3 linked regions of the Oryzias latipes genome follow. The protein of the gene in region 1 binds, or shares a complex with, the protein of each later gene. Links are inferred from orthologs where the notes say so. Each region holds a gene or a part of one and is shown in the gene's direction. Other genes may lie near its edges. The genes, in order: rad1, hus1 and rhno1.

What was found.
Region 2: the proteins of rad1 (region 1) and hus1 are in contact, whole or in part, in a crystal structure (PDB 8GNN), measured with the Homo sapiens proteins. The link is inferred for Oryzias latipes from reciprocal best matches to the Homo sapiens genes RAD1 and HUS1. Residues at the interface, in NP_002844.1 of Homo sapiens: Asn85, Val88, Asp91, Cys92, Ser94, Ile95, Phe96, Gly97, Ser98, Gly127, Val128, Val129, Thr130, Val131, Cys132, Lys133, Ile134, Asn135, Gln137; in NP_004498.1 of Homo sapiens: Thr165, Ser168, Val169, Lys172, Met173, Asn175, Ile176, Glu197, Leu198, Val199, Cys200, Val201, Thr202, Thr203, His204, Phe205, Lys206.
Region 3: the proteins of rad1 (region 1) and rhno1 are in contact, whole or in part, in a crystal structure (PDB 6J8Y), measured with the Homo sapiens proteins. The link is inferred for Oryzias latipes from reciprocal best matches to the Homo sapiens genes RAD1 and RHNO1. Residues at the interface, in NP_002844.1 of Homo sapiens: Asn47, Gly48, Ile49, Lys50, Phe64, Ile65, Gln66, Ser149, Lys155, Ile157, Glu211, Ala212, Lys240, Val241, Ser242, Arg244, Gln254, Tyr255, Met256, Phe266, Glu268; in NP_001239428.1 of Homo sapiens: Ser55, Trp56, Val57, Ser58, Pro59, Asp60, Phe61, Asp62, Thr63.

What each region holds. Positions count from the first base shown.
Region 1 is NC_019870.2:9,822,256-9,826,473, forward strand, and holds rad1 (cell cycle checkpoint protein RAD1), read left to right. Parts: upstream 1-1,359; 5' UTR 1,360-1,512; exon of another isoform or gene 1,513-1,515; intron 1,516-2,214; exon of another isoform or gene 2,215-2,217; 5' UTR 2,218-2,223; coding exon 2,224-2,418; intron 2,419-2,509; coding exon 2,510-2,618; intron 2,619-2,698; coding exon 2,699-2,856; intron 2,857-3,045; coding exon 3,046-3,146; intron 3,147-3,271; coding exon 3,272-3,370; intron 3,371-3,579; coding exon 3,580-3,766; 3' UTR 3,767-4,013; downstream 4,014-4,218. UniProt on the Homo sapiens protein: Component of the 9-1-1 cell-cycle checkpoint response complex that plays a major role in DNA repair. The 9-1-1 complex is recruited to DNA lesion upon damage by the RAD17-replication factor C (RFC) clamp loader complex.
Region 2 is NC_019878.2:4,320,229-4,324,330, forward strand, and holds the start of hus1 (checkpoint protein HUS1), read left to right. Parts: upstream 1-1,245; 5' UTR 1,246-1,532; coding exon 1,533-1,584; intron 1,585-3,494; coding exon 3,495-3,622; intron 3,623-3,697; coding exon 3,698-3,874; intron 3,875-4,102. UniProt on the Homo sapiens protein: Component of the 9-1-1 cell-cycle checkpoint response complex that plays a major role in DNA repair. The 9-1-1 complex is recruited to DNA lesion upon damage by the RAD17-replication factor C (RFC) clamp loader complex.
Region 3 is NC_019881.2:18,846,764-18,850,020, reverse strand, and holds rhno1 (RAD9, HUS1, RAD1-interacting nuclear orphan protein 1), read left to right. Parts: upstream 1-1,329; 5' UTR 1,330-1,493; intron 1,494-1,625; 5' UTR 1,626-1,648; coding exon 1,649-1,807; intron 1,808-1,918; coding exon 1,919-2,560; 3' UTR 2,561-2,681; downstream 2,682-3,257. Other genes in the region: foxm1 (forkhead box protein M1), read right to left, coding at 4-445. UniProt on the Homo sapiens protein: Involved in microhomology-mediated end-joining (MMEJ) DNA repair by promoting recruitment of polymerase theta (POLQ) to DNA damage sites during mitosis.

The sequences.
Region 1 (4,218 bases):
CACAGGTTTTTTGTTTGTTTGTTGTGTGTGACTAAAACGGCATCGTCATAATAACGAGGCCACTGGGAACCTTTTAAAAAAGATCACAAAGATGATTTGAGTGGGACTTTAAAGTCCAAATGATACAAATAAAAAGACGTCCAATCACAAGCTTGCTTCTACCTGGTCGGGCCAATTACAATTGTCTAAAGGGGAACTACAGGGAGGGATGCGTTTTGTGTGCTATAAACATATTACAATCCTTTTTTCCCCACAGGACTGCAAACAAGGCCTAAATCAAATAACCACAAGGGGAAAATCAATATTAAAGACGCAGAATACCAAGTCTTTATGTTTGAAGCTTCTATGTTAAGGACTTTGCTTAATTGATAAAAGTAAAAAGTGGCAGTAAGTAAGTTTCTCTCGTTGGCATTTTGTTTATAGTTTTATAAATGAATAATAAATACATTGTCTACAATTAGGTAGAAGATTTGGACTGTATCATATTGCCACAAAGTTTGATTCATCTATTTGTGTCCATTTGTGGACCGTGTATTGAGATTTGAGCGCTGCTCTACCTTTGAATTCCATTCAATTCAATTTTATTTGTATAGCCCAAAATCACAACAACAGTCATCTCGATGGGCTTCGAAGTAAAACATGAACTCAAAAGGATCATGAATACAAAGAGTTCAATAGGAAAATACTAAAAAGAACTAACAAACTGACTAAGCTATACTGGCATCCCTGCCCTTAGACCCCCCTTCGCGGTAAGGAAAAACTCCTAAAAAACCATTTGTCCAAAAACAATTTTAACAAACTTTGTTTGACCAACTCAGTTTGATTGCTTTAAAGCAGCAGGAAAATTGAGTAATTAAAAGAAAAAAATATAAGGAGAACAAAGCCTCAAAAGGTGGCGCTGTAGTCCCAAAAGTAAGATAAACATTTGACAGTTAGACAGACAGCCTGATGAGCTAGCTTAACTTGAACTGCGTCAGCAAAGTTGATGAAGCTTAAGTTAGCTGCCTCAGTTATTCAGCTTTATTAAAGGACTATTTCGGATCTATCTAATATATATTCCATTATTTAAAAACGACATGTATCTATTTCTAGTATTTTTTTTTTCCCTGAGGGAAACAGTTCTAGAGAAATATATGTCTCACCGGTACGTAGTGAGTTAGCTTCCAACTTCTCGTGCTCTTTTTGCGGCTTACATAACGAACACGGAAAACCAGCAGACATGGTGTCAAGCCAGATAATTTCAATAAACTTACCCTTTTTTCTAAATACGATCACAAACCACCGGCCTTAGTAGAGACAGCTGTTGCGGTCACGAAGAGTTGTTCAGTTTCGACTCAGGAGCGAAATCTCTGGAACATAGTGTGCCGCACAGAAACGCAACTTCCGTTGAGGGAAGACCAAACCGGAAGTTGCTACAAATCGGGCGCATTTCTTCGATACATGTCCGCAGTTTTCCAACCAACCAGGACAATTATAGATCAGTGGAGCACCCCTTTAAAAGCAAGTTAAAAAAAGGTAAAAGTTGCTTTTGTGTCGTTTATTACTCCTTATCTCAAGCTGCAAAGCTGAAAAAGTAGCCTAGCTAACACAGCTAATTTATTAACATGGCAAAGTTGAAGGAAATTCTGAAAATATTATTTAAGAAAAACATACGACAGAAACACTATTAGCAGCTAATTTGATAGCAGTAAAGTCATCATTCTGAACTACCTCACAATGCAAAATAAAACCGTTAATTAAGGAATTTCAGTGAATTCACAACAGCTAAAATAAACATCAGAAGCTAAAGAAATATATATTTTAATTCAGTTTGAAGAGTTTGATTAATTTTTAGACATTAAAGCTGAGTTGAGAAAACTCAGCTTTAATGAGTTTTCTCATTAAAGCTGAGTTTAATGATCTCATTTCTCATCTTCTTGATGCAACATTGATTCCTCAAACCTTATTATGTGATCATTAAATACAATTAGAAAAAAGGTTGCTTTCTAATGTTAGAAATATTGATATTAGTAATATAATTTTTTCTCCTAATGATTTTTAATCCCGAATAATAAGTTTTAATTAAATTCAGTCCTATCAGAATTAACCTGCCGAATGTCCATCAAATAGATTCAATATGTTGGCATTAATACCCAGAAAGCTGAAATGTTTTTTGCTGAAATAAATAGTGTATTTGTTTTGTTTTAGATTCTTGCAAACCTGTTTTTGTCTTTCAGCAGAGCAATGCCTCTGTCCACACAGTCTCAGGACGATGAGGAACACTATGTTTTAGTAGCCAGTTTGGACAACGCTCGCAATCTCTCCAACATCCTAAAAGCTATCACTTTTAAGGATCATGCAGTCTTCACAGCAACACCCAACGGCCTAAAGGTCACTGTGGAGGACTCCAAATGTCTTCAAGCCAATGCATTCATCCAGGTGTGTGTGCAGTCTTTGTTTTTGGATTTGCATCCATCAATTTTGTATTCGAAATCCTGACTGAAGAGAAGTTGTTCTGTTTTCACTCCAGACAGAGATCTTTCAGGAGTTCACCCTTAAGGAAGATTTGGTGACTTTTCAGATCAACCTCACTGTTCTGCTGGATTGCCTAAATATCTTTGGAGGAAATGCAGTAGCAGGTAAAGAATTTTTTTTTTTTTTGCACAATTCAAACTTAGTTCCAACCCTTTTTAGATCTTTTTTTGTTGTGACTTTGCAGGAACTTCTACTGCCTTACGAATGTGCTACAAAGGTTATGGATACCCTCTGACTCTCTTCCTGGAGGAGGGGGGCGTGGTGACAGTCTGCAAGATTAACACACAAGAACCTGAAGAACCAATGGATTTTGAGTTCTGCAGCACTAACGTTACAAATAAGGTTCCCGTCATCATTTGTCTTTTTGTGAAAAAGCTTCATCTTTTGAAAGATGATTTTTTTTTTAATTGAATTAGAAAAAACAGTGAAAGTAATATCTTACTTAATTACATCCAGGTGCTTAGTAGCTTGAAGTCTCGCATTTGTGTGTTTATTATGAAATCCTTTGGGAAAAAAATGCCCTTTTTAAAGGTGATTTTGCAGTCGGAGAGTCTGAAGGAAGCTTTCTCTGAACTGGACATGACCAGTGATGTGCTTCAGATCACCATGTCCCCCAGCCAGCCGTACTTCAGGTGAGCTGCTAAAACCTGCTTGCTGTTCTCCTGCACTGAATAAACAGTCTGCCTTCATCAGAAAGCAAAAAAAGATATGATATATTTAAGCTTTAAAAAATGCTTTACTGTTTGATCTGTTTAAGGTTGTCAACATTTGGGAACTCTGGAAATGCACATTATGATTATTCCAAAGACTCGGACATGATGGAGCTGTTTCAATGCACCATGACGCAAACGAACCGGTATGTGCAGATATCAGAAGAAACGTGCATCATTAAAGCCAAAAGATGACCTGAAATAAAAAACATTTCAAAAATGTTTTAATTTTGAAGATTCTCCTAAACATCTTTCAACTATTCTTTTTGTTTAAACATCTGCCACCTTACATATAACAGAGAGGGAAAAAAAGGCTCATCATTCATGTCTTCTTCTGTTTCATGAATCATGACAGATATAAGATGTCCCTCCTGAAGCCGTCCACCAAAGCCCTGGCTCTGTCCTGTAAGGTCTCAGTGAGGACAGACAACAGGGGCCTCCTCTCCCAGCAGTACCTGGTCAGGAATGATGACGGACAGATCTGCTTTCTGGAATTCTACTACTGTCCTGATGAGGAGGTGGAGGAGGAGGAGGAGGAATGACATTTAGACTGACCCAAACTAGCATTTTAACTGCAGTGGTTTCCAGTTGCTCTTAAAAAAAAACAGCCAAGAAGAGGAACTCTGTCAGGAGGCAATCCCAGTCTGATGAATGCAAACATAGAAAGATGACTGCTTCATTTAACGCAAGCTTTTGAGCTAAAGTCTTGACTAAATGTCTTGTAATGTGGGTATTTGCCGTCTGAACAGAAACTGAATCAAAACAAATAAACCAGAAGGGGCACTAAAAGGTCATTTCTAAAGATTAGAAATGCAGTGATGACACCTTTTCAGTTCTGACATGCAGCCAAGTCCCCCTTTTATCTTCCGTCTAGCTCTGCAGAGGAACGTACCATTTTCCTGATATGAGGGGAAGGTCGGTAAAGTTGATGCTCAAATCTAAAGGAGTTTCCTATTTATTGGATGTGTTTAGTATTTGAGGTGTTTGAAGTGAA
Region 2 (4,102 bases), on another chromosome or scaffold:
AGGATTAATCAGACAGGAAACAAAGAGCTCTCTCATGGAGGTTTTCTTTTTACCAGTCTGCCCTCAGAGTGAAAATGTTTGACCTTCTTCAGATGATAAGACCAAACATGGTGTCCAACGTGCTGAAGTTTGAGTTCTGGGTAAAGAGGACTGAGCCTTTCTCTAATCACCCACAAAGACCTGCTGTTTCACCTATGACCATTTTTTTCTTTTTAAACAAATGCAGCAAATATTTAAAAGAAAGAAGGGAAAGAAGATCTGCAGTGAAATATTTCTGCAGTCAGAAACCTTTGGATCTATTTGTCTGACATCAGGATGGAGCAGAATGTGGCTTTACTTATTCAATTTACTTTAGTTACTGACGACTTACAGTCCATCTGTTCCTTCCGTTCACTGAACTCAAGCATCACACAAATCTATCTTGAAGGACCAAAGTTTTGAAGGTTTCAGGTGAAACAAACAGCCAGAGGAGCCAGGACTTGTAGATCATGAACCTTGTGTGATCATTGTGCCGTTTACATGGAATTCTTTAGTGATTTGTGCGCCAATAAAGTAATTTTAACGTGATATGTGCGCCGTAGACGTGATATAAAAGTTATACATGCGTGAAAAGTCTGTTAGACATACGTGGAATGGTCGTGCAAAGCCACAAAATTGCATATACATCTCACAAAAATCACACACAATTGCGTAAGAATAATTGCGTGTAAACTATGCAAAATACACGTAAACTGTGTAATTTTCAACAAACTAAAAATTTTGAACAGCTCAAAACCAAATTCCCACACAGACCTGTCGTCCAAAACTCTCAACGGTTCTGTACTGAGTTTGACCTTTCTAACCTTTATCATAACCACAACACACGGGAATGCACCTGTGTCTCTGAAGGACCACAGCTGACATTTTTAATCATCTATTAGACATGAGGAGCAGATCATTTGCTGTTCAACTAAACTTGTTAGTTCTGAGAGGGTTTTATAACTTACTGAGTCTGTTAATTAGATTTGGGATTTCATTACTGCTGCAGGCTATTAAAGTTTGACATTGTGTTTATTTATTTTTTGACAATCAGTTCAACTTTTGACCTATTCCTTTTCTTCCTGTGTGAGAAGTTTTTTTTGTTAATTTCTTTTAAGATTTTTAACATTTTTAGACTTGATTTTATCTTTATTTTTTTGTTTGTTGATGTGGGCGTAGGTGTGTATAAATTTTGCAACATTATTTTTAACCATTGACTATATAGTCACACTTTTAATGCACTTTGAGCTGCATACAGTGCTGTATAAATAAAGATTGATTTATCCTTTTAATACCAAGTCTAATTCGTTTCAGTTTTTACAACAACTTTCGAATATTCTGGATTTATAAGTTATGTATCTGTTCAGACAGGAACTATTATTGTTTTGTTTCCGGGGAACATTTTACGCAGACGGACCTAACCAAGACAGAGCGCTTTAATGGTTTCCCGCCTGCGTTTGATGCGCAGAAGCTGTGTTTAGCAGAAAACCTCAGTATTTGGTCTCAGAGTCCAGATGAAGTTTCGGGGGAAGATCGTGGACGTGGCGTGTCTGAACCACTTCACCCGTGAGTCACTTCAAACAGCAAAAAAAAAAAAAAAAAAAAACTACCGAAAACTGAGAGCCGACGATGTCACATTCAGTTATCTACGAGCCACTTTCATTCACATTATAAATTTCGTATGTGTAAAAATTCACTTCAATCTGATCAGCAAATAAATCTAATATGATTCTCTTAAATGACGACTTTGAAAAACTTAAAACGTTTGTCGTGTCGCGTTGCATGTTGGGAATAGGAGTTCTGTAAATATATTTTTAAAGGGCTTTTAACCTCAGGTGTGCATTTCTGTTGTTTCTGTACCTGAAATGTATGAGTAAGCCCTTCAATTATGTTCAATTAAATTATTTTTGACGAACATTTTAAAATATTTTAACATTTAATTGATAATGTGACCAATAATAGCAACCAGAGACTGACTTTAGAAACTAGTAGTTTGAAACAAACGAAAATGTATTAAAAGAGAAAACTGCAGTTGGCTTAAACAACCTGACTTCACTTATCTGGTAAACCCAGTGAGTGCAGATATAAAAAAATACTAAATAAACATAAATAAATGTGCCTGTTTTGAGGAGAAATGTGTTAATCTGCCGTATTATTATCGAATAATTGGTGTTATTTGGTAAAGGAAATCTCATTTTGCTGTCCAACTGTTGACTGAAAACATCCAGTAACAGGGCTCCAGATTAACTTTTTTCACTAGGAGCACTGTTGCCCCCAACTGAAAATTTTAGGGCCACAACCAGAAAATTTAGGGGCGCATATTGTAAATCAACATGCTAACCAAATCTATTAATTTCCACTGTATTACTAATAAATACTTTTATAATAGATGCCGAAATTACAACGTGCTGTTTCAAATTCAGTGTCATATTTTATTCTGCACTTTTGAAGATGCAACAAGGTAAACTGACAGCACCATCGCTGTCATGACAGTACAAATAGTAAACAAAATACCATACATTAAAAAAAAGTTTTTAGTAACAAGTGAATACCGTAGTAACCTTTCGGTCATTTCACAGTTTCAAACAATACTTAAATGTATGTAAACATTAGGGGATGGAAATTCATGTTGGCGACACCAAATAGGTGCAGCCAAGATGCACAATAATTTGAGATCACCCAGATGGACGCAACGCTGCACAGATCACCTGGTGTGAGACATATTTTTGTTTTTCCTCAACATCACCTGTCAATCAAAACAAAAATATCACCAGAAAGGGGCGGAAGCAAGACCTCAACCTGAGCGAACGCAGCTAGAAATTTAGCACTGAACTGACTGAAAGCTGCCCTACAGACTACAAAACGATGCATTATGGGACATGCTTCCTGATGGGTTTTTTGTAGTTCACTGATCAATTAAAATAATTTAAAATACCAACTGATTAAAAAAAGCTACATACATTCCAAAACATTAAAATAATTATAAAAGATGTAATATCACAGATCATACTTAAGGGGAGAGGCATGTTAAAACTAAATTGAATGTTAAGGACTACAACTTCCTGCTCTCCTTCAGTCTCGCTGCAGCTTCGCCTTCATGCCCCCCCCCCCCCCCCCCCCCCCCAGGGCGCTGGTTTATCGTAAACCCGACTATTGTTGCATTTTCCACACGTGTTTTAAGTGCGTCTAAGACTAAATCGTCTCATTGTTTATTTCATTGCTCATTTCATTGATCATTGACGTGCCCCTTCCACGTTTAATGTATAAAAAATACGGAGGGTGGGGGAGGCAAATTTACTGGTAGATATCTAGCACATGCTAGATGTAAAATTCAGTCGCACACTCTCAAATTTTGGTCGCAAAATGCAACCAAATGGTCGCAGTCTGGAGCCCTGAGTAACAGGAAATGGTGAACATGTGGAGTAAACGGGTTCAGTGTGTGCTCAGGACTGACAGTGGTTGCTAACTTCCTCCAGGAGTCGTCACCACCATCTCCAAGCTGACCAAGACGTGCGTGCTGCGGCTCAACCCGGACAACCTTTTCTTTGTCCTGTCAGGGAAAGTGGCCAATGGAGGAGTCAGCATGTGGTGTGAGCTGTCACAGGTGAGCAACGCCACCTTTTGGTTTGGATTTGGCATTGCAGGAAGAATATTTTAAGCAATTTTAAACCTACTGCAGGCTAACTTCTTCGACGAGTACCAGATGGAGGGCGTTTCTCCAGAGAACAATGAGATTTGTCTGGAGTTGGCTCCAGAGAACCTGTCCAGAGCCCTGAAGACGATCCAGAATGCCAAATCTGTTAAAGTCAAACTTACCAAGAAGCATTGCCCCTGTCTGACTGTCTGCGCCGAGCTGGTAAGTCCTGCTCTGAGCACTTGACCCCTCAGCTTAGGAGAAACTGTCTTCAGGGAAGATCTGTGATTTTCATAAAAGCTTACTAACAATCTCCCAGTCTCAGGGTTCAGGTTGGTTCTTCTGGGTTTAGATAATTTTACGGTATAGATGATCTCGGTTCTCATAATCATGATATCCCATTGGGTTTATTTGAAGCTTTGAGCAACACCTGCTGTCCACACTTGTGAG
Region 3 (3,257 bases), on another chromosome or scaffold:
TACAGGGTTTAATGCCAGTCACATCAAGGGATGTGTGAGTGCTTTCTTTTGTTGCTGGTTCTTGAGATGGGATTTGTGTGGAAACAGCATCTCCTCCAGAAGTAGCAGTCTCACAGAAAGATCCGGCTTGATCCTGATTGCCATTGTCACTCAGGAGAATAAACTTGCTCGGACCCTGAACTCCGCTGTCTTTGCCTTTAGCGGCGAGGACACTAATTACACTCTGAACGTCTGTAGCTTTGGGAATGACCACAACCTGAGTGTCTGACAGGGATGGGTGGCCTATAAAGCGGACCCCGTCTGGGAAGCACGAACTGTCGCTGGAATTTGACGGCTCTTTGGAGCCACCGGACTGCCTGGATGGGTCTGCTGGGGTGGGTTCCTTTTGTTGAAAAGGTAACTTGCGCCTTTTGAGGATCAGGGGTCTCCTTGGGCTCCGTCTCATGGTTCAAATCATCCAAAGGGCCTTAGGTGTTCAATGGAAATCTGTGGGGAGGGGGAAAAGGTCTTGAGCTACAGTTATGGCTCAAAAAGTACTCAGAAGTTAAACACCTTATCAATACATTACGTTACAACGTTTAAATACTGACTTTAACGATAACCCCGAACTAGTGAGCCTGAAAACAACATACCTGCTAATAGAATACGAAGTAATCGGTCAAAAATGATGTTTCAATCCTATGATATCGTCTTCAAACTTAAAGAAACCCGATTATTGCTGTCTGTTTGCTGCAAAAGTCCCAACAGTCCCTCGCTCGAAAGTGAAGATTTTATTCGGTTCCCTTGGCGACATGCCAGTCGTTATAATTTTCAGTTGATGATAGGTTTAATTTCAATAACGTCTATCTAGTGGATATTCAGTGCAACATATATTTACATGTTAACACAATGCAATCAATAAAACAAAAAATAAATTCAAAAAATAACATGCGCCTAGCCAATGTCCCGATTAGCGTATAGTTTCCTTTATTTACAGCTAGGCTAAGCTAGCTATGCTAAAGCTGTTTGACGATGGAGGAAACAAGTGGAAAAATGAAGCCAGACCTTCACATTACTGAATTACTGCAGCGTTTCATTCAATTCCAGGCTTGGTTCGGCTTTCAATTCCACTTGTCGGATCAAAGAAAACATTTAAAATATTCACAAAACCGACGTATTTAGTAGTAATTAGATACAAAAAGTCAATCCATAAACAGTTTTGAATTTTGGCGCTGTGGGCGCTGCCCCGACTGTCACTTTGATCACATGGTAACAATGGACCAATAGTAAACGCAGAAAAAAACACTGGGCGGCTCAATAGGTGGCGCTGTGGGCCGCAGCTCGAGATGGCCAGCCGCTAACCCGAAGAAGACAAAGAAAAAATCCGGGAAATTAAAAGTAACAACAACACGGACAAGCTAAGATAAAAAGGTCTGAATGAACCGAAAAATAAGGGAACGTTTTTATTCCGTATTCCGTACATGGACACATAATCACGGAAAAAGCACAATATGGTAAGTAAAGAACGCGTTTCAAAAGTAAACACTTGAATGCGAATATGTAAACAGCCTCGATCTACGACTAAAGCTATGTGTATTGTTAACAAGATTACTCGATCGGATTTGTCTCTTGTTTGTTTTGAACAGATGCTTAAGATTGATTTAAATTGATGCCCCGGAAAGCGGCAAAGACAGACAAGCCTGCACTGCAATTCCTGGAGCGACCTGTGAGTGGCGCCAGACTTCAAAATGTGCCTGAAGTCAGAGCTGCTCTCAATCCCAGAGAGTTTTTCTCCAAGACACACAGCTCTTCAGCTCTCAGTTCCTGGGTAAAAGTCTTTTAAATATATAAAAATATATAAAACATTACAAATATAGATTTAGTTGATTAGATAACTGGCAAAAAAGTCTACTTAACTATAAATTTCCCAACCTTTCAGGTTCAACCCCAGTTTGACATCTCAGCTACACCTCCATTTAGACGAGGAAGAAGAAATTGTCAGTCCGTCACAAGGATTCTTGACACGTGCAACGAGCTGTCCAGGAAACACAAAGTGTGCAAATACCCATCGTTATTATTTCTTAGGGCGGAGAGAGACAAGTCCCATAATCCAAGTGGACAGCGCACAAAGAAAGCGGCAGAGGTGACGTCAATGCCTGAAGATCAACCACAGGGATCATGTCAAAGCAATAGGACAGTTTTACCTGCACCTAAGAGACGAAGAAATCCTCAAAAATCTTTAAACAGAGCTCCATCTCACAGTGAATATTTGCACCAACCTGAAAATCAGTTAATAGAGGTAACGGAGGAAAGCAGAACTCCACCCGGTGGGTGTAGTAGCCCTAGACTTGGCAATGTTGACCCGCCTCCTGAAGTGGACACTCCAACAATGAAGCAGAACAGTTGCCCCATGTCTCCCCCTGTTTGTTCACTGCTGGCTGATCCCTCCTCCCCGCAGTGTCATCTTCATCCTAATGTTTTGGTCTCCGACACACCAGAGAGGGACTATGGGGTGAAGGTGACGTGGAGGAGGAGAAAGGGATTGATGATCATATTAAAGGAAAGGGGCCTCCTCGATTAGTCACTTAAGTTTATTCTATCATAAATCTTTTAATTTTTGTAAAAAATCCTTTTTCATTTCTCTTGCACACCCAAATAATATTATTTTTTCCTGATGTTGCCTGACAAGAATCAAATGAAAAATAAATGAATTTGACATCTGATTAATAATTATTTATTTTTCTAAGTTTTGAACACATATTAGAAATTTAAGTCATACTGGATGGTCATTTGAAGCCCATTTCGTTTTAGAGAAAACCTTTTATTGTTCCCACCTTTTCCCCAGATGTAAACCAATTAGATTCCTTCTAGGAAAACAGCCGGCCAATAGGAGTGCTCGTTATTGGTCCGCTTGGTTGCCAAGGCAGAGTATTCATCCGCAGCTCCTGCGTCCGCAAAAAGCGTTTTTCTTCGAGGAGCCTTTTCCTTAGTAACCGTGCATAAACATGAGTTATTACAGCATAAGGTAAGAGTAAAGCCTTGAAAATACATCCTTACTTATTCACGGACTTCTTTGGTCTTCAGTTTTGTCTATTGTGGCGTGAAAATCCCGCTCGTGTCCGTGGAATTGTGTTGGGAAAACTTAAGTGTCGCCTTTAACTTTGATAAAACGCGGCATCGCAAACATCGGAAAACGGGCTGAAGCAGCTAACGTTAGCTTCTAACGGTTGTACGGTAGCTTTGATATTCAACTCCTGATAATTATAGAATTGATGACA